Caenorhabditis elegans: one gene and its partner. The protein of the gene in region 1 interacts with the protein of each later gene in a pairwise test. Each region holds a gene or a part of one and is shown on either strand. Other genes may lie near its edges. The genes, in order: bub-1 and mdf-1.

Region 1 (9,698 bases):
TTATCAGCGAATGGAATGTTTAACATAATTATTTGAAACTTATTGATCCGATGTAATCATTCCTGTTTTTCAACATTTCAAAGAGTTTATTCAATAGTACCTATTTAGTTCAAATTGGAATTTCCAATTGAAATCATATTTGATTACGATCCTTAAACTTTTGTTCGATCTAATGACCATTATTTGACTTATATTGTATAGGTACAACTATTTGATCATAGTAGTGCACTGAATATAAGAGGTCGTGGCGAGACCAACTTTTAAAAACTGCGTGTGCCTTTAAAGTTATGTTTCACGTTTTCATGAATTTGCAATACCAAATATGATTCCACAAAGTTGGAGTCGTGAAATGTTGTTTTTTTTTTCAAATTTATTTACAAAAACTAAAAGTTTGAATTTTCAGGAAGAGGTCGCCACCCAGAATCTGTCCAAATTCCGACAGATCCAACTCGCTCTCGAGAATGCCGAAGAGCGTGCCGAGGTTGCCGAGAACTCATTGGTTCGCATGCGCGGTCAAGTTGTTCGTTCGGCTACCAACAAGTAAATTTGCCCCCTGAATAAATTTCCATGGTCCCCACACACAAAACTTCACTTCCCCATTGACCTTCAAAACCTCTCGTCGATTTTCTTCCTCCTGTCCATCATCTTTTTCAGCAGTGCTGCACACACAAATAATTTCTCATAGTTTTGTATTTTCCCCCACATATCTTGTTTATAATCAAGTTTTTCTCAGTTTCCTTTTTCCTAATTGTTAAAGTTTCAGTCTCAATCATATTCTCTCACTCTCTGTTTGAACGATTCGCGCGCCGAGTCTCCGTTGATCTTTAAATTCTGTTGATTTCTCCCGACGCTCCACACGTCTGAAATTGATATAATCTGAAAGTCTCGTTGACATCATAATTCTTTCGATTCTAGCGATCGACCCTCCACATTATCAATCAGTAAACTGCCTTCCAAAAGCCCCAGGCTCTAGAAAATCAAATCAATTCAAAAAACGCAAACGGTGTGTCTGTCATCATCATCATCAACTCTTCTTTTTCAAGAATAAAGTTGTAATTAAGACTCTCTTATGTAAATACAATCTCTTTCTTTCTTTCTTCTTTTCTATTTACTCTGCACAAATGATGATAAGACACCAGGATCTGGCAGGATACTTCACTCAAGTAGTACGGTTTCGCGCTGTGGTTTTTTCCAGGAACTCCCTTTGCTTGGTAAGAATCACAAAACGTTTTCTTCTTGTGGAATGTTGAAGAACGAATAATAGTAAACATGGAGTTTAATTGAAGAAGGTTTAAATCTAGAAGACAGAACGTTCAAAATTTTATTGTCTGAAAAGTAAAGAATAAAGCACAAGGGAGCAGTACATAACATCGTATTAAGAATTATCTACTTTCTCGAGAAATGCGGTTGAATAGGAATGAAAATTTCACTTTCTTCTACGACGAATATTTGTACATTGTCCATGTAATCGTAATTGATGTCTTCTTCCGAATATCTTCTCGTAGTTGTTTCATTTGTAGATCTATTGTTCCTGCAATGCTGGTCATGTTGTAGCATATGTGATATAAATTCATTACATATAAACTTACCATCATATTATGATCATGGAGAGCACGATAGTTTGGAAGGGTTTCAGAACAGTTGTTGCATTGAAACATTTCTTTTCCGTGAGATTCGTGTCGATGTGAGCACAACGCTTGCAGGTTATGAAAGGAGGCGTGGCAATCTCGGCACTGAAATTATAAATTCTCAAACGTTATTTTTTAATTAGGAAAATTAACAAACCGTCCATTTCTCTGGAGTATTCGAATCTAGACGAACACGGGATGTGATTTTTCTCTGCAACGCGGCTCCATTTGTATCGCTCCTGTGATGTTGTCGTAAAGAAGAACTTCCCGGTTGTTGAATATTATCAAATACGTTGCCGTATTGACACGTCTTGCGATGTTCAGACAGAACATTCAAATTTGCAAAAGTTGCTCTGCAGTCAGGGCACTTGAGAACTGATATATTTTGAATATTGAAAAGTCTCTTATCTCGGATCTTGTATGGCTTGAAGCATTCGTGACGGTCAAGAGTGGTTCGATCGATACAGTTTCGGCCACATTGTTGGCAACGGAAGATTGAGTATTCCATACTCATATGACGACGAATCGAACTTAGTGTATTGAACTTTTTCGTGCACACACCACATGTTAGCATTGCAGTCAATCCATGAATTTGCTTCCGATGATGAAGAAGACTTGCAACACCGACACAGAACTTTCCACAGATGGAACACTGAAAACTTATAATGTAAGAACAACATATTTAGAGCTTCAATTTTGTAAAACATAATGATACCTTTGTCAATTTTCAATTTTTCAATTTTTCAATAGAAATCAATTTTTGCCGCAATATTGCAGATACAGCTACAGTAATCCTATTACGTATTCCCTTTTAATACAATCTTATCATATGAATCATTCACTTCAAAATGTTAAATTTACATTCTTTGGTGATAATTTAGATTTTAAGACATGATTACTGAAAGAAGTATGTTAACCAAACAAAAAGATTTAAAAGAAATGAAGTAATCTACCGGAATATTGACCAAATTCCCAGTCGAAGAAGATGAGGATGAAATGGTAGCATCAGCATCTTCGTCATCGTCATTGTCGTCTTCTCTTTCAGGTTCTATACCAAATAAATTGACATCTGGAACCACGCTGATCTCTCCTTCACGTGGTCGTCTGTCCCGCAACGAGTTGACATCCAAATGTACATCAGAAAGAGCTGGAGTAATGTCTGGACAATGCTTCTTGTGATAATCAAACCAATATTCATTTTGATATTTTTTATGACAGTTTGGACAGCTTATGGTTTGATCTAAAAGCGCAGGAGGAAGTGCAGTAGATGAATTACACTTTTCCATGTGGCGTTCGAACCAAAAACTCGAATTGTATCTTCGGTAGCAAACATTGCACTTGAATTCCTGCAAAACAATGTTTATGTCCCATCTCTGACTGAAATTTATTTTTTTTTTGTAAAACAAGAAAAAATAATCTGTTAAATTAGTTTATATTTTCAATTAGTGAAGTTCTCGCAAAAACGTTTCACTAAACATTCTCCACCTGAATTTCGTCCGTTGTTTCCAAGCATTTGGTTCTATGTTTGAGCAACCAATGATAGTGTTGATATTTCTTTCCACATAATACACAAGCGAATTGGAAACGGTCTTCTTTTGATTTTTCATGATTCTCATTAGACAAAACAACGCCACCAAATTCTTCATCTTGAATCTCTTCTTTTATTACTTTTATTTCTTCCGCATTTACACGTCCCGTTCTTCTTCGTTTTTTATCGTCGATTGTTTCATTTTCCTTACATCGATGCTTTTCCAAGTGCCATTTGCTGGCAAACGATGTATTGCAACCGTCACAATGATATACTTTGTATTCTTGACTTAGATGCAAATAGATATGTGTTCGCTTCGAAAACTCTTTTCCACAGAGACCACACATCATCATATCTTTCAGTGAATGTTCTTGATGACGATGATCAAGAAGACAGCGAATGGTTGAAAATTTGGATCCACATATTGAGCACTGAAATTGAAGAATAAAATCATGTTCAGAATGTTATGCTTTAGATTTTGAGAAATTTGATGGTTGGTACACACTTTTAAGTTGTAATAAATAAATCTATAATAGTGATATGGTATAATAGTGATAATAGTGAAGGTTTTTGTTCATTTACAGAGAATGAGATATAGAACTAAAATGAACTAACCGAGCAATTAACAATTGGATCTCCTCCTCTTTTTGTCCAATATTTGGCAGAGGGTTTCGATGTCAAATTACTACGCGACTGCCGGTTTCCTCGTGGGGTCCGTCTTTCTTCGATACTTTCATCGGTTTCATCGCTACTGTCTGACTGATTTAATAGTGTATCAGCACCTTCACAACCATAGTTGTTCAACACGTTTATGTATTGGACGCTGTTGTCCTGAAAATGTTCATTAGAAAATGAATTACAGTTGGTTTTTACACTATGGAAGCGATTATTCCACGAAAATGAGCCATCAGCTTGGTTGTACTGAACTCCGGACGGATTTTCGAATATTGAAAGATATTGCTGGAATTCGAAAATTATACAGCATTTTTACCAAATTTATATTTCAACCTCATCTTGCATTTCATGCTTTGGATCTCTGATTTCAACTTTATTCAATTCCTCTGTGACTTGTGAAGATGTGGATGGCACGTTTTTAGTCTACAACTCTAACTTTATGTTGAGGTTTCAATGAAGATTAAATACCAAAGATGGTCGAAGTGAAGCTTCGTCGAAAATTGCTTTGATATGACGAAGCAATTTTTCATCAGGCATGTCATGATAAAAACTGCCAATTTCATTTTCGACATTTGGTAAAAGCTGAAACTTTTTGCAAAATAAGTTGATTAAACACTAGCGCTCACCACAGTCTGATCTGATTCTTCCATTTTTACAAGAGGATGGCTGGAAAATATTTTAATTGTAATTTTTTCTAAATTCTTTTTTAAATATCACATTTTATGCAAAACGCGAAGAAAACAGTTGATGAAACAAAACGAATGTGCAACTATTTAGATCTAACTGTGATCTATTGCAATACTTCCCTTTAAAGGCGCATCAAATTTCTACCGTGATGGGTCTCGCCGCGCCCAATCTCGAATATCACGTTCAAATTTGGAAAGCTTTCAAAAACTGAAAACTTCGTTTAATTCAATTTGTTTTACCAGAAATAAATTAGATGCACAATTATTAAAGCTCCGAACGAGTTTATTCACATGATATCAATACAAAAGACAATAAAAGAGAGCAATAAGAGCACGAAATACAAATTCATTGTGTTGGGCTACTTTTGGTTGGCGGCAAGATCACAGGCCTCATTGAACTTGGAAACCGCCTGTCGCCATCCCGATGCTTCAAACTTTTCATTCCAGATTTCCGAGAAAGACTTGATCAGGATATTCCAGTCCGGAAGTGAATCACACGAAGGGATGTTGAGGAATCTGTTAATGACATCGTAGCAAGCATCGCGAAGAATGTTGCGCCTCTTGATGTCGACATTTAACGAATAGTCTCCAACGCTAGCTCCAGTCAACTGTGCATACTTTCCTGCAACAACGACAGCCATTGTTGCGGCGAATCCGAAGTAATCGGCTTGGTAAGTCCAAGAACGACCGTCAACCATTTCCGGGCAATCAAACGCTTCTGTTCCTGCTCTTCCCTTGAAACGCTGGTTCTTCAGTGGCATCATGTCAATGGCACGTCCCCAGTCGATAATCTTGATGACAAAGCTGTCGTTACTCATCAGAGCATCTTTGCCCCATTTATCATCGATCCTGAAAAAAGATAACGTCTAAAATTAACAAATGTTTTCCCATACTTTCTGGTGATCATAAAATTATCCGGTTTGATATCTCCATGAATAATTTTAGAGGCATGGACTTCCTTCACAACTCGGGCCATTTGGGTAATCAAGAAGCAGGTTATGTGCCAATTCGGATCCTTCATGTTATTCGCATATTCAAGCAGCGTTCCATATTCGTGGTACTGATTAACAAGAAGCGAAGCAGTTGAATAAACATAAGCATCCATCACTTCCATAATGCAACATTTGGCCATCAGCTCCAAACCTCGATCTTTCAGGCGATTCCGCATTTGGTCGCAAATGTACACTTCCCACGAACATGATGGCACCTCGTACTTCACAGCTACTGTCCTTTGATCATCGGTTACAGCCCGGTATACTTTAGCGTATCCACCTTGACCAATAAGAGTTTGAATGTGGAGCTTTTCTCCGCTAACCTCGCAGTCTCTCAGAGCTTGAATCTTCGGTGCTCGTTCTTGGAACTCGTGCATATTCTGGGGAGGACGCACAAGACACATCAATTTTTTTCGAAGAGTTTCGTCCCATGGATTGATGTCTCCTTGCTTGATAATTTCACTGCGCCGACGAATCTTGCAACCAGTGATTTCAGATTCGTTGTTTTCAGTGAGATTTGGAATTTCATCAGCACCAATTGAAAGACGTCTTCCTAGATTAGCTGTCAAACAATCGATAGATGAATCTTTAGGATCTGATCGTTCAGGCTTTGATGACTCTGTGACTGAGGGCTGAACGGCTTGATTTGCTGCTAGTGACTTTCGACGTGTCTGAAAAAGTTTGAATAGTATGTCGAAAATTTGTCTGGCACTTACTAATTTACTGAAAGTACTGCTGGTTGGAGCAACAAATACTGGAGCTTCCTGTTCGTGAGTGCTTTCCTCCTCTTTATTTCCGAAATATTCATCAATGTTGACCAAATGAACTCCTTGTGCGGGGGTCGATGTGACGAAATTACCACGAGACGGTTTGAAAAAGCCAAACTCGATTTCATCGTCATAAACTAAAAATTAAAACATAAGTTGTTATATTTTTCGATAAACCCACTATCATTAAACATTGTAGCTGGTGAGGTTTGCGTCACTGGAGAAACTAGGACAATTTCGGGTTGTACTTCAGATTCCTCAACTTTCTGAGATTCTTCCGGTTCGGCTGCCTCATCGTAAACAACATTCAACCCATTCGACACTTTTTTCGGACGCTCCTGTGTAATGGTCATTGTCGGATCAGGATCACAGAGCACGGAAAAGTCAGTAACTATCTGCGTAGTAGCTAAAGATCTTTCTGGAACGAAGACAGAATCATCGCCAAGGACCATTGTCTTTTCGCTAGCAAGATGTACAGTGTCGGAAAACATAGCATGTGCCTCCAAACACTTATTTTCCGCCATCAAATCCAATCCAGCTCCACTCTTTGATGTTCTTGCAGAAGCAGTTGAATAGTTGGAAGATATGCTTGTGGAACGGTCTGGAGGGTTACCATCTTTTCTGCCGGCAGTCATAATCTTGAGTCTTTCATCATCATCTGCATCATCGGAATCACTAACATCTTTCTCCGAAGCAGACTTTGTATCCGACGAAAGTGTCACTGTCGCTGGAGGATTCTCAATTTTGCTCCGAAGTGCAGGTCTGTGAGCATCCTTCGTTGCAACCAGCGGCGAATAAATCCGGCTTCGCTTTTCCTCCTCATCATCAACCGTTTTCTCACTGACTGGTGAAAGATGACGTCTTCTAGGATTTAGATTGGCGTTGAATCGGTTTTCAACTTCTTCGCGGGCTTGTCTGTCGGTATCAATGACTTGATGTTTCACGAAAACGACACCAGAGTCTTTTCGTTTTCGGTAATCGTCATCAACATCTTCTCCGAAAGTGTCCTTCCATTTGGCAAAACGAAACTCCTCAATCGATATTCCATGATAGTTTGGCCTGTCGATACACGCCTGGCGAAGATCCGTTTTGGCTGTAAGTTTCCAATGAGAATAATAACTTTTTTTCAAACTTACTTTTTGGTCCAAATGCAGCTTTTCCCGAGTTATTTATAGGCACATTGTGTTGCAAAAAGCAAACCGAAGAGCGACGCTTTTTCTTAGAACCCGCATTGAATCTGAAAAGATCCATAGTCTCATCCGGTCGTGTGAACATATCTCCAGATTCTCCATTGAAGTATTCATCGACCAAATCGCGAAATCCCGATTCAATTGCTGTCATTTCTATTCTTTCGGAAAGACGATCTCGTGCCAACTTCAGGACATCTTTGAATTCCTCCAGCATTTGATCTTTTCCACATTCTTCTGCCCATTGCAGATAGAACTTCAGCGAACCAGTGAAATGATCCTTTTTGAAAAGTTGTTCATAAATGCCTCTTCCCTTCAGGTTTGTACTAGATCGACCCATAACTTTGTAGAGACGGAGCATCGCTTCGTTTTCACGAATTTGATCAAACTTTTGCTCCCGCAAAATTCTCCTAACGCAGTCGTATAATTCCGCCTTCATTTCCTCCGCGGTCATCATTTGAGACAACGTTTCGATTTGCCTGAAAGTGGTGACTATTTAAAATACAAGATATACGGAAACTTACGTTGCGAACGTCTCAAGACCACATGTCGACGGATTGGTGTCGAGTGGAGCGAATGCCACTCTAATGTGGGACATAACTTTCTGAAATAATCTGAATAACAAGTTTTCAAAGTAGAAAGGACGCGAATAAAAAAATCATCGGTTCACGAAAATTACGGAGTTCATTGGAGACGTGAAATCCCTCTTTCTCCTCTAAATTTTAGGACCTTCGAAAACAAGAAATGGATATAAACGCGCGCGTCTTTTTTGAAAAGCGAGTCTTCGCGGGCCTGCTCGATAGAGCGCGTTTTTCGCTGTAGTTCAGTGACGTCACTCTCATGGCTACGTTCTTTTGAATCTGGAGAATTGCGCACTACTGAAAATTGGGCGGTGCTTTATTGCTATAACTGAAAATTGATTTTAAAGCTATTTGAAATTATAAAAAAACAATTTTTTAAAAAGTGTTTGTATGCAATTGGAATTTAATTTGAAATGTTACACTTTTAATAACACAAAAAGCCCGCCCATTTTTTCGTAGTCCGTTCGTCACTAGTTTCGAAATCGACGGATCTGCATTGAGTCTCTCATTTCTTTTTTATTATTTTTCAAACATTTTCTCCATTTTCCTGTTTTGTTTCTTTTTTTTTTAAAGCAAAATGTTTCGAAATAATTGAAGTTAGCGTGGCCCAGTAGTCTAATTTGTCACCAGATAGTTAAGAGTGTTTTTGTTCGTCCGAAAAGTTAGTTCCCGAACATCAAAATGCTAAAATTAGTCATTTTGTGCTTCGCGTTGTTCTACAATACAGTCAGTTCGACAAGATTTCTGTTTGGCGTCGAAGTTAAGTGTGATTTTGATGAAGTGTTCCAATTAACAGTGTCGCATTGGGAAGACGATGGCAATACTTTTTGGGATCGCGATGAAGACATCACTGGACGTATGACTATGTTTGCTCGAAAGAAAATATTTTTCTATCAGGACGGCCATCATGGATTTGAATTTGGAAAGCTCGAGCCTTATGGGTGGTTTCTGCACAATTGCACGAAAAATGGAAATTTTCGCGAGTATAGGCACGGGTTGAGTAGCACCAGTGGATCCAATGGGTTGGAGTATATTGAGTACACTGTGAATTTGACGAACGCCTGAGAAATATCAAATCAAATCGAACTAACTTTCAATTTCAATAAACATTCTCTCTAATTACGTTTTAAACCAGTCTTAATTTCAGATGTCTGAATTTCTGAAAATTGTCAGAGCTAACAAAAAATCGGACAGAAAACTCGATAAGACCTACTTGTGGGAATCCTATTTACATCAGTTCGAGAAAGGAAAAACTTCTTTCATTCCAGTTGAAGCATTCAATCGTAACCTTACAGTTAATTTTAACGAATGCGTGAAGGAAGGAGTTATCGTGAGTTCATATTGTTCGTAAATCGGTTTTAAAATACAATTTTTGTAGTTCGAAACAGTGGTCCATGATTATGACAAGAACTGCGATTCGATTCAAGTCAGATGGTTTGCACGAATTGAAAAAGTTTGCGGATACAGAGTTCTGGCTCAGTTTATCGGAGCTGACACGAAATTTTGGCTCAATATTTTATCGGACGATATGTTTGGTTTGGCAAAGTAAGTTGGACGCTCAGCTCTTTCTACTATTCTAAATAAATAATGGTTCTGTTACATAAAATTCTAGAGAACAATCGTATTAAAACTTCGAAACATTTGTATAATAGTA
Region 2 (9,187 bases), on another chromosome or scaffold:
CATTGTTGATTTTCATGACGTCGCGAACGTATTTGTAGGTCTTCGATACCAATTTAGAATCTGAAAGTTTTCAATTTTATACTAATTAGTCACTTATTATAAAAAAATGAAATCTCACCCATCATAAAAATTCTTGGATCCTCCATGACTAACATTTTTAGTTGATTTGTAGTGAAGTTGAGTTCTTTGTTAAACATCTTAACAAGTCGTTCAATTGGTCCAGTTCCAAACATTATAATTCGAGGTTCCTTGACGATAATTTCTCTAGTCGCTTTTGCTGATAACTTGAACTGTTGCTGTAACCATCCCAATCGTGAATCAATCAACTGAACATTGCAATTCAACCAATATCTATATTCATCAACGATCTTTAGTCTTTCAGACTTTGTGAATTTCTTAAGCTCTAAATAATTGAGCCTTGTTTGCATATCATTCACATCTTGAATTAAAAAGAACGGATTTCTTGTTAAATATGGACCAATCGCTTCATTTTCAAACCCTATTTCGTTTTGCATCAATTCAATTTTCTGTCGAACGTCTTCTATTTGCAACCGTAGTAGATGCTTTCCAACAGTTGTCGTGTTTTCAATTTCAGCAAGGTCTACACCAATATCAACTAAAAATCGAAGAAGCGGCGAGTGATTTACAAATGGAACAATGGAATGCGAATGAACTGGAGGAAGTTCTGAGGGATCAAATGGGTGAGGATTCGATGGAGACGCTGGTTCAGTGAGGTCAGTATGATCAAGCTCTCCTTCTGTGTATTCAATTTTCCGGTATGTTGCTTTTCCTGAAATTTTTTTATATAGTTAAATTTTCAAATCTTTTAGACCAACTGGTGCTCCGATAAAATAAAATAATTCAACTAATAATGGTGTTTCGGCATTTTTTGAACGAATTTTTCAGAGTATCTGGAAATATAATCAAAATTATGAAACCCTACCAGTTTCAGATTTTAATCTTCGCGCCTCTGCAATAATAGCCGATGAAATTGTTGCTACTTCTCGTGTGTTCTCAATTTGACATTTGTCATCAAAATTTTGAATTATCTCTAAATTAGTTTGACTTTCTTCATCAGTGAGAGAACTTTGAAGACTCTTCTCCGAAACAGTTTTTACTTGCGTTGCAGGTTTGAAGGAAAGATCTGGAGGCTTCTTTGGTGTAATCTTAAATTAGAAATTAGAATAAAAATACGTTACATTAGATATTACCATAGTCATGCCTCTCGTTTGTTGCCGAAATCCAATAATTGCTGTAGTACCCATAAAACGAACAATCGATGCTGGTACTGTCATTGTCTGCATTTAAAAATGTTTAAAATGTCCTGTCCAAGGATATCTCTGACACTCAAAAAAGGTAGATAGTGGTTTCTACACACGAAGTCTCTAGAAATCTCACATTCTGCATGATAAAATAATTTATTATTCATTAAACAGGATGCGTATAAGACACCGGTCTAGATAGGTCTATGTACAATTCGATGGGAAATGTTTTTAAATATAGAAAAGCAGGAATGTATTCGATTTACAGCGTGTCTCTCTCGAGAAGCTGATCAAGAGCAAATCCAATGGCATAGTAAGTAGTTGGTGGTCCTATATTGTGTTGTCGGTACAGAGACGGCAAATCCGCAAAAGAAACACGAAGTTCTTCAATGTCTTCATCTTCTTCCTTCTCACAAAGTCGTGCTTTACTAACATCCACGGCAAAAATAGATTGGGTGTCTCCAGATTGACCGATTCCCGGAATACACTTTGCTTGGAGTTTAAACGAATCTTCTGGAAGATCGTAGCCAAGTTGCTTCACTGAGATTCGAGCGAATTTTCGAGGATCGTCGAAATCCGGAACACGGTTAACAACGAGTTCAAGCTGGAAAATTACATATAATATTGTGGGAAATACAGCATTCTAGACTTACAGTGTATGCAATTTTAGGATCGGAATTCGAGAAATCAATCTCATCCAGAGGCTTTCCAATGTTTTCTTTCAAAAAACGATTTTTTCCAACAAACACCGCTGTAAACTTACATTTCATTAAAGTTCGATTTAAAAATTACTTACGTGCACGGAGTTTCTGCAAGAAAATCAATTCTTTCTTCACCATATCTACAAGAATACATGTAGCTGTGTTTGGACATAAGGCTAAATCCCAGTTGCGGGTTATTCCATTCTACAAGAGATTCTCATTTATACATATAATTTAAGAACTTTACTTCAACTCACAATTGTGAAAATCATTCTCTTTGGATTATAACCATACTTCTTTTTGTCAAAATCAGTGTTGAATTTTACGTTCGAAATGGTTTTTACATTGTGCGGCTGCCATTGATATCCAGTTGGTGGAGTTGCGATGAGCCCTTTCTGTAAAAATTTTAAATGATTGTCGTAAACACACGTTTTTTAAGAAGGGTTTTTCCAGTCTTCAAAAGTTAAATAAAAATATGCTTTTATTCACCTTTTTTGGATCCAAAACCAAAAACCACCATTGAAAAGCAAAAAGAACGCCTGGAGGTCCTTTCACTTCTGCATGTGTTCCAATAGCAGGGCGTGCAATTTCACGTGCAACGTTGACAGGGTAATAAACTTTAGTAATTACTTCTCCCTCATGAACATTTCCACCTCCTTCGCTGATTTTCATGGATTCGTCGATTTCCGCGTAATATAAATGTTGAGCACTTCCAGATTGATGAGCACCCACAACAAATGTTATTACATGAATTAGATCATCAGGATCCACACGATATCCACATTCTTCAGCAACTTCTTCTGATGCAATTTCTCTAGGAGATAATCCTTCCTTGTCAATTAGTCCAGCACAAAGTTCAATGGTGTAGCCAGTTTCAGAATCATAGCTGCTCCAGTCAATTTTATCAAATTCTTTACCGTGATTCTCCGGCGAATTTGAAATTGATGCGGTGAAGATTGCTAAAAAACAACTTAACGCTCACATTTCAATAGAATAAAATTGGAAACCTGGTCGAAATTGACGAACTAGAAGAAATTGCTCTAAATCTCTATGAAATAGAAGAATGGATACACTGCTCATTTTTTGATTGAATTCACTAACACGTGAATTTCCATCCAATGTGTAAGACATCTCCATTCCTTTCTGATATTTTGATACAAAATCAGTCACAAAAGAGACATCACTAATTTTTGACGCTGTCATCTGAAAATATATTTTCTTATATCATTTAATTGCGGTATCATTCAAACTCGTTTTAGAAAAATACAGGATGTTCAAAAACCAATTTTCCTATTTTCATAATGGTATTTCTCCTATATACGAGCAGATAAACTTTAGATTGTACGAAACAATATACCATAGTAAACATTGAATTGGAAAGAAAATATAACGTTCATTGTGTGATTAATTTTGATCACTACACGTTTTAGATTAAAAAATAAATAAATAAAATGGAATGAAACATCAAATATTCAGGTAACAGTGTATTTAACAGCTTCTCCTTTGAAGAAAAATAATTGAGATCTAGATAGCTCAATGATTTAGTCCTCGTGTAAGACACTGAATGTATGTGTTCTCTCATGCATCGTCTCGTCAAAATCTCGATCCTGTTCCAGCTGAAGAGTCATTGCTGCTAAGAAAGCCGGAATCGAATTTCGGTCGCCAATGTACCTGAAAAAACATATTTTAAGAAGATGCCTCACAACAACGGGGAGTATTTATACTTCTAATAGTAAGTAACCAGAAAATTAACAAACTTTTTCATAAGTGGCTCCCACTTTCGAAGCATTTCAGTAGTTGATTCACAGCTGACATCAAGCATATCGATGCGAGGAGTTCCATAGAAATACTTAAACACGAACTGCTGAGCGGAACCACCTTCATATTCGCTTTGTACAGTGCATATTCCTTCGTCTGCATCTTTCAGTTTGATTTGGAGACCGGTCAGAGCAATACAAACTTGCCGGAACTTCGACGAGAGTTCCTTATGAAGATTGTAACTACTTTCGAGTACTTTTTTCTCACTTTCGCAGTCGTAAAGACGCTTCTCCAATTCAGCAAACTCTTGCTCTCTCCATTGATCACCAGCTGGAGCATCTGTCAACTTTCTTTTCCTACTTTCAGACGCTTGGAATTCATTGTGAGCATCTTGGAGTGGATTAGAAGCCATATGGAAAATCTGTGTACTATTTCCGGCATCGGTTGGAGCAGGTAAAGATGCCGGTTCTGAAGCTGGGACAGTTAAAGTCATGCTGAGAACTTCATCGAGCTGAGATTGAGATTCTTCCAACTGTTTCTTGACCTTCTCCAATTCATTGTTGCTCAACTCTAACTGTTCAGAGAGCCGGCTTTTCTCATTTTCAAGGTCTTGGCTTCTGACTCTCTCGCTCGAAAAAGCATCCTCAAGTCGTTCGTTGCGACGAGCACAGTCTGTGCTTTCTCGCATAACTTTCGTCATTCTGGAAGTAGCTGCTTCAAAATCTTTTTCGAGCTGATTGTTCTTCGTAATGAGCTGAGTGATTCTGTCAATGAGCTGCAGTTGCTTAGCGGAATTGTCTGAACTCGAAGGAATTTTCTCGTCTATATTGAACAAGTTCCCTGCTTGGCCAATCCGAATAGCTTCAATCTCACTCTAAAATAAATTAAACGTGAAATTAGTTTAACAATAATTATTCACTCACAAATGTGCTGTCCAACTGCTTATGGAGAGCTTTCTTCTCAAACTCTAAAGTACGATTACGTTCTTCGAAAATCATCGACCTTTCAGCACGCCCACTCGAGACATTCAAACGATCTTTGAGAACACTGTTTTCCAGTAGTAATCGCTGAATTTTCTCATCTTTCTCGTAATCAATAAGTGATCGATTGGCAATGCAGCCATCAGTCATCATTGTTTGATCTTCTGGCATTATGGTGTTATTTGAATCCTCGAGAAGTGTGAAATTGGATTCTGAAAATACGAATATATTTGCCTGCAAACAAAAGTTTGAAAATTCCGGACTTACGAGGTAGAGTAAAGTTAGCAGCCGATTGATCAGCACGAGCGATTTCTCTTTCCGTTTCAGGAGATGGTGGTCTACGGGTAGCAAATGAAACACCTTCATATTCTAGCAGACTTCCTGAACCAAGTTCTTCTACTGTTTCATCATCATAATCGAATTGTTCAAGAGCCCTGTACATCTGTCTTGGAACTGCATTCAATCGTGTAACTTCTTCGTCGTTTTCAAACTTTCCGTCGTTGTCTATGTACAATTTCACAGATTCCAGCTGAGTATTCGCCATTGAGTACCAAGTGTAGTATTTTTTGCCGAATGCTGTCCAAATATCAACGTTTCGATTACACTCTGCGATGGTGTCATCTCGTTCTTGCTTCAGAAGTTCGACTTGCTCTTGCAGCTCCAACATTTTCTCACGATTCGTCTCCAGATCAATGGTTTTTTCAGCCAACTTCGCTTGATTCGTTTGCATCATTTGTTTCATACGTTCGTGATCTTCACGGAGTGTTACCAATTGACGCTGTGCCGACTCTTTTTCTTTTTTTGCACTTGCCAATTCGATTGGAGCCACTAAATAAAATATTTTAAACATTTTTAATAAATGGATTAAGTTAATTTACCAGGTGAGAGTGTCATATCGAAATTGATTTTTCTGGCCTCCACCGGCGCATGTCGACGAAATGTTGCCTGCTTCAGCTTTTTTTCTGTCTCTGCTTTCAACGGAAACTCTCTTTTGAACTGTTTTTTGATTTCTTCAGCGAACAACATTGTAGCTTCCGACTCTTCATATTCGTCTTCATCGACAATGTCTTCATCGTAATTCATGTCTGAAAAAAATCAGTTACATAATGTATTACAGTGAGCGATTCGAATTTTGAGATAGAGATTAATAATATGTTTAATGCAATCAAGGGAAGTCAAACAAATCCATTCGCACAAAAACAGTTTATCGAATGTCACCAAACAAACTGCGAAGAAATCTTAAAAATAACGTCTTCCCGCCCACTTGCAAGGGCGCGGCATTATGCAATGCTGCCGCACACTTTTCCCAGCAATTCTTCAGCCTCATTTTTTATTATTATTTGGTCATTCGGAAACATGTTCGGACACAAGAACATGCAAAAATAGGAAAATATGATCTTGCGAATAGTTTTTTTTTCAAAAATCCGAATTTTGGGAAGTTTCTTACCTGGAAAAATTGTATTTAAAACAAATTCTTATTTTCATTTTAAAAAATAATTTACTGATAACTGCAAAGTATATGAATTTATTTCATTTACAATTCAGCCGAGTAAACAATACATTCAGATGACATATAAATTAACGGGGCGGAGTATCTTTAGTTGCAATATTCATCTGTGACACTGCTTATTCTTTGTCTCCTGCAGTCTTCTTTGGGAGAAGCACGGCTTGGATGTTTGGAAGAACTCCTCCTTGGGCGATGGTGACTCCAGCCAACAGTTTGTTCAATTCCTCGTCATTACGGACAGCGAGTTGGAGATGTCTTGGTGCAATACGGGTTTTCTTGTTGTCACGGGCAGCGTTTCCAGCCAACTCGAGAACTTCGGCGGCGAGGTACTCCAGAACTGCTGCGAGGTACACCTGGAACATTATGTTTTTAAAAAGTACAAGAGCAAAAGTGATATAATTTGGAAAATGCTAGCAAGTTCAGGTTTGAACGATTTTTTAATCTAGGAAATGCACAAAACACAGCAGCTCTAAAATTCTACATACCGGTGCTCCTGCTCCAACACGTTGTGCGTAGTTTCCTTTACGGAGAATACGATGAAGACGACCAACTGGGAATTGAAGTCCAGCTCTCGACGAACGGGACTTGGCCTTTCCACCGGTCTTAGCTTTTCCTCCCTTTCCACGTCCGGACATCTTTGCTGAAATTAGGTTGAATAACAATGAACTAGAAGTCTAGATGAGCAAATTGGAGGTGAAAGAGAAACAGAAAAGTGGTCTAAGCCGACGAAAATCGATGCAAAATACGCATGCGCACACGCGCCCGCCTCTCTATTTAACTATTTCTCTCGGTGTGGGCGGAGTCTAGTTCCGCGGCAGCGAGAGGTGGGGCCACCGCTGGCGAGTATAAAAGCGCTTCGCAGCGCTCATAGACAACACTCGCCAAACACATCGATTCGTTTCGCATTTTCGTTTCGTGTCTCATTCGATCATGGCCCCACCAAAACCATCAGCTAAAGGAGCCAAAAAGGCTGCTAAGACCGTCAGCAAGCCAAAAGACGGAAAGAAAAGAAAGCATGCTCGTAAGGAATCCTACTCGGTCTACATCTACCGTGTTTTAAAGCAGGTGAGAATATATTCAAATCGAATAAGTTATGATAAAAAAATGTTTTAGCCATTAGCATGTTGTATGTTAAAACTACGTACCACTTAGTACGAACTGCAACGATATAATACCGGTATTTAAAAATCATTTAAATTAGTCTTGGGGGATCATAGAAATCAAAATAATATTAAGTAGTTATTCTGTCAAATCAAAAATATTATTAAATAATTTGCAGGTTCACCCAGACACCGGTGTGTCATCCAAGGCTATGTCGATCATGAATTCGTTTGTCAACGATGTCTTCGAGAGAATTGCTTCGGAAGCATCTCGTCTGGCCCACTACAACAAGAGATCCACCATCTCTTCTCGCGAAATCCAAACCGCTGTCCGTCTCATTCTTCCTGGAGAACTTGCAAAGCATGCTGTTTCAGAAGGAACCAAGGCTGTCACCAAGTACACTTCCAGTAAATAATTTATTAATGATTACGATCTCCCATTAACACTCCTATTCCCCAATGTATTTATTCATATGTTCCTGTTTTATACTAAAAACCTAATAAATTGGTATTGGTAAAGTAAACTCGATTTTGGGAAACATGTGCGAGCGTTAGTGACCTCAGACATCTGTCGCTCCGCCCCTCCACCGCATATGGGTATATAATATACACTACGTTGGCATTCATTAGTCAACCAGTCTGCACAACACCAAATCGACGCGCAAAAATGCCAAAGAACACCAAGAAGAGCCAAGGAAACAAGAAATTGGAGATGACCAATAAGCAATTCGATGATTTGCTGAAGGAGGTAAGACCTATTTTATTTTACTTAGAATAGCCTAAACAAAATATCTTTTCAGATGGGAGGTCTCCCAGAGGGAATGAATCTCGATCCAGAGCTTCTCGCAGTTCTTCGTCAAGCAACAAATGCCGAGTTCAACAAGGTGGCCAAGGAGAAGTATGGAGATGTTCCAGAAGGTTCAGATGATGACGAAGAGCAGCAAACTTCGGAGCAGAATAAGGAGCAGCAGCAGTCATCCAGTTCGAAGAGTACTTAGTTGTGTTCTTCGTTTTCGAAAATTTCTAAATTCTCAAACCGATTCTTATTTTCAAGATCTCTTATTTTTACATCAATAAAACCATTTTGCTCAAAAATATGATATTTATTCTTCACCGTCTTTCCGAACACTACGAATTTCAAGGAAAACCCTTGGAGGACTGTTATTTCTGCTGCACAACCTTTCCCGCGTCATCGAATCCGCAAACACGCCACCAAGTTTTTGACGTATTTTTCGTTTCTGTGACGCTTTTCTGACATGTGTCCCCGCAGGGTGGTTCAATCTGACTCCACCCATTTCTGCTGGCGTATAAAAGAACGACGACGAGTGACGTTCAATTCTGTTTTTATCAACTCATTCGCTTTCGTTTTCTAACAACTTTTAATCATGTCTGGACGTGGAAAGGGAGGAAAAGGACTTGGAAAGGGAGGTGCTAAACGGCATCGTAAAGTTCTTCGTGACAACATCCAGGGAATCACAAAGGTTAGTTTTTTGAAAATAAATATATATTTTTAACTTAAAAATATTTTATCTAATTTTCAATATTTACTTTCCAGCCAGCAATTCGCCGTCTCGCTCGTCGTGGTGGAGTCAAACGTATCTCTGGACTTATCTACGAGGAAACTCGTGGAGTTCTGAAGGTCTTCCTTGAAAATGTCATTCGTGATGCTGTCACTTACTGTGAGCACGCCAAAAGAAAGACTGTAACCGCGATGGACGTTGTCTATGCCTTGAAACGTCAAGGAAGAACTCTCTACGGATTCGGTGGATAATTCACTCGGCTGAGCCGAGGTTACTGTAAATATATATCATGAAAACCAGATCACTCGCTTTGAAATTCAATAAAATATTATCCGACTTAATTTTGATGTTCTTCAGAA

The links.
Region 2: the proteins of bub-1 (region 1) and mdf-1 interact in a two-hybrid assay, tested with the Caenorhabditis elegans proteins (one study listed by BioGRID).

Annotation. Positions count from the first base shown.
Region 1 is NC_003279.8:7,250,310-7,260,007, reverse strand, and holds bub-1 (Mitotic checkpoint serine/threonine-protein kinase bub-1), read right to left. Parts: upstream 8,068-9,698; 5' UTR 8,062-8,067; coding exon 7,988-8,061; intron 7,943-7,987; coding exon 7,413-7,942; intron 7,370-7,412; coding exon 6,458-7,369; intron 6,414-6,457; coding exon 6,226-6,413; intron 6,181-6,225; coding exon 5,411-6,180; intron 5,367-5,410; coding exon 4,877-5,366; 3' UTR 4,785-4,876; downstream 1-4,784. Other genes in the region: myo-1 (Myosin-1), read left to right, coding at 404-544; ztf-15 (C2H2-type domain-containing protein), read right to left, coding at 1,387-1,539, 1,590-1,733, 1,786-2,280, 2,582-2,974, 3,114-3,587, 3,772-3,987, 4,030-4,116, 4,165-4,254 and 2 more; Protein lin-61, read left to right, coding at 8,726-9,088, 9,192-9,374, 9,423-9,589. UniProt on the Caenorhabditis elegans protein: Serine/threonine-protein kinase essential for spindle-assembly checkpoint signaling. Plays a key role in the recruitment of the checkpoint proteins bub-3, mdf-1 and mdf-2 to unattached kinetochores. mdf-1 recruitment is independent of bub-1 kinase activity.
Region 2 is NC_003283.11:9,538,441-9,547,627, forward strand, and holds mdf-1 (uncharacterized protein), read right to left. Parts: upstream 5,787-9,187; 5' UTR 5,785-5,786; coding exon 5,580-5,784; intron 5,530-5,579; coding exon 4,969-5,529; intron 4,914-4,968; coding exon 4,645-4,913; intron 4,596-4,644; coding exon 3,721-4,595; intron 3,635-3,720; coding exon 3,505-3,634; 3' UTR 3,342-3,504; downstream 1-3,341. Other genes in the region: C50F4.12 (Transcription termination factor 3, mitochondrial), read right to left, coding at 1-60, 119-790, 944-1,166, 1,212-1,295; C50F4.16 (Uridine diphosphate glucose pyrophosphatase NUDT14), read right to left, coding at 1,525-1,866, 1,916-2,013, 2,059-2,167, 2,221-2,358, 2,453-2,922, 2,971-3,166; his-35 (Histone H2A), read right to left, coding at 6,328-6,561, 6,694-6,843; his-41 (putative histone H2B 3), read left to right, coding at 7,139-7,273, 7,488-7,724; C50F4.6 (Cold-shock protein), read left to right, coding at 7,976-8,056, 8,109-8,306; his-37 (Histone H4), read left to right, coding at 8,694-8,789, 8,864-9,079.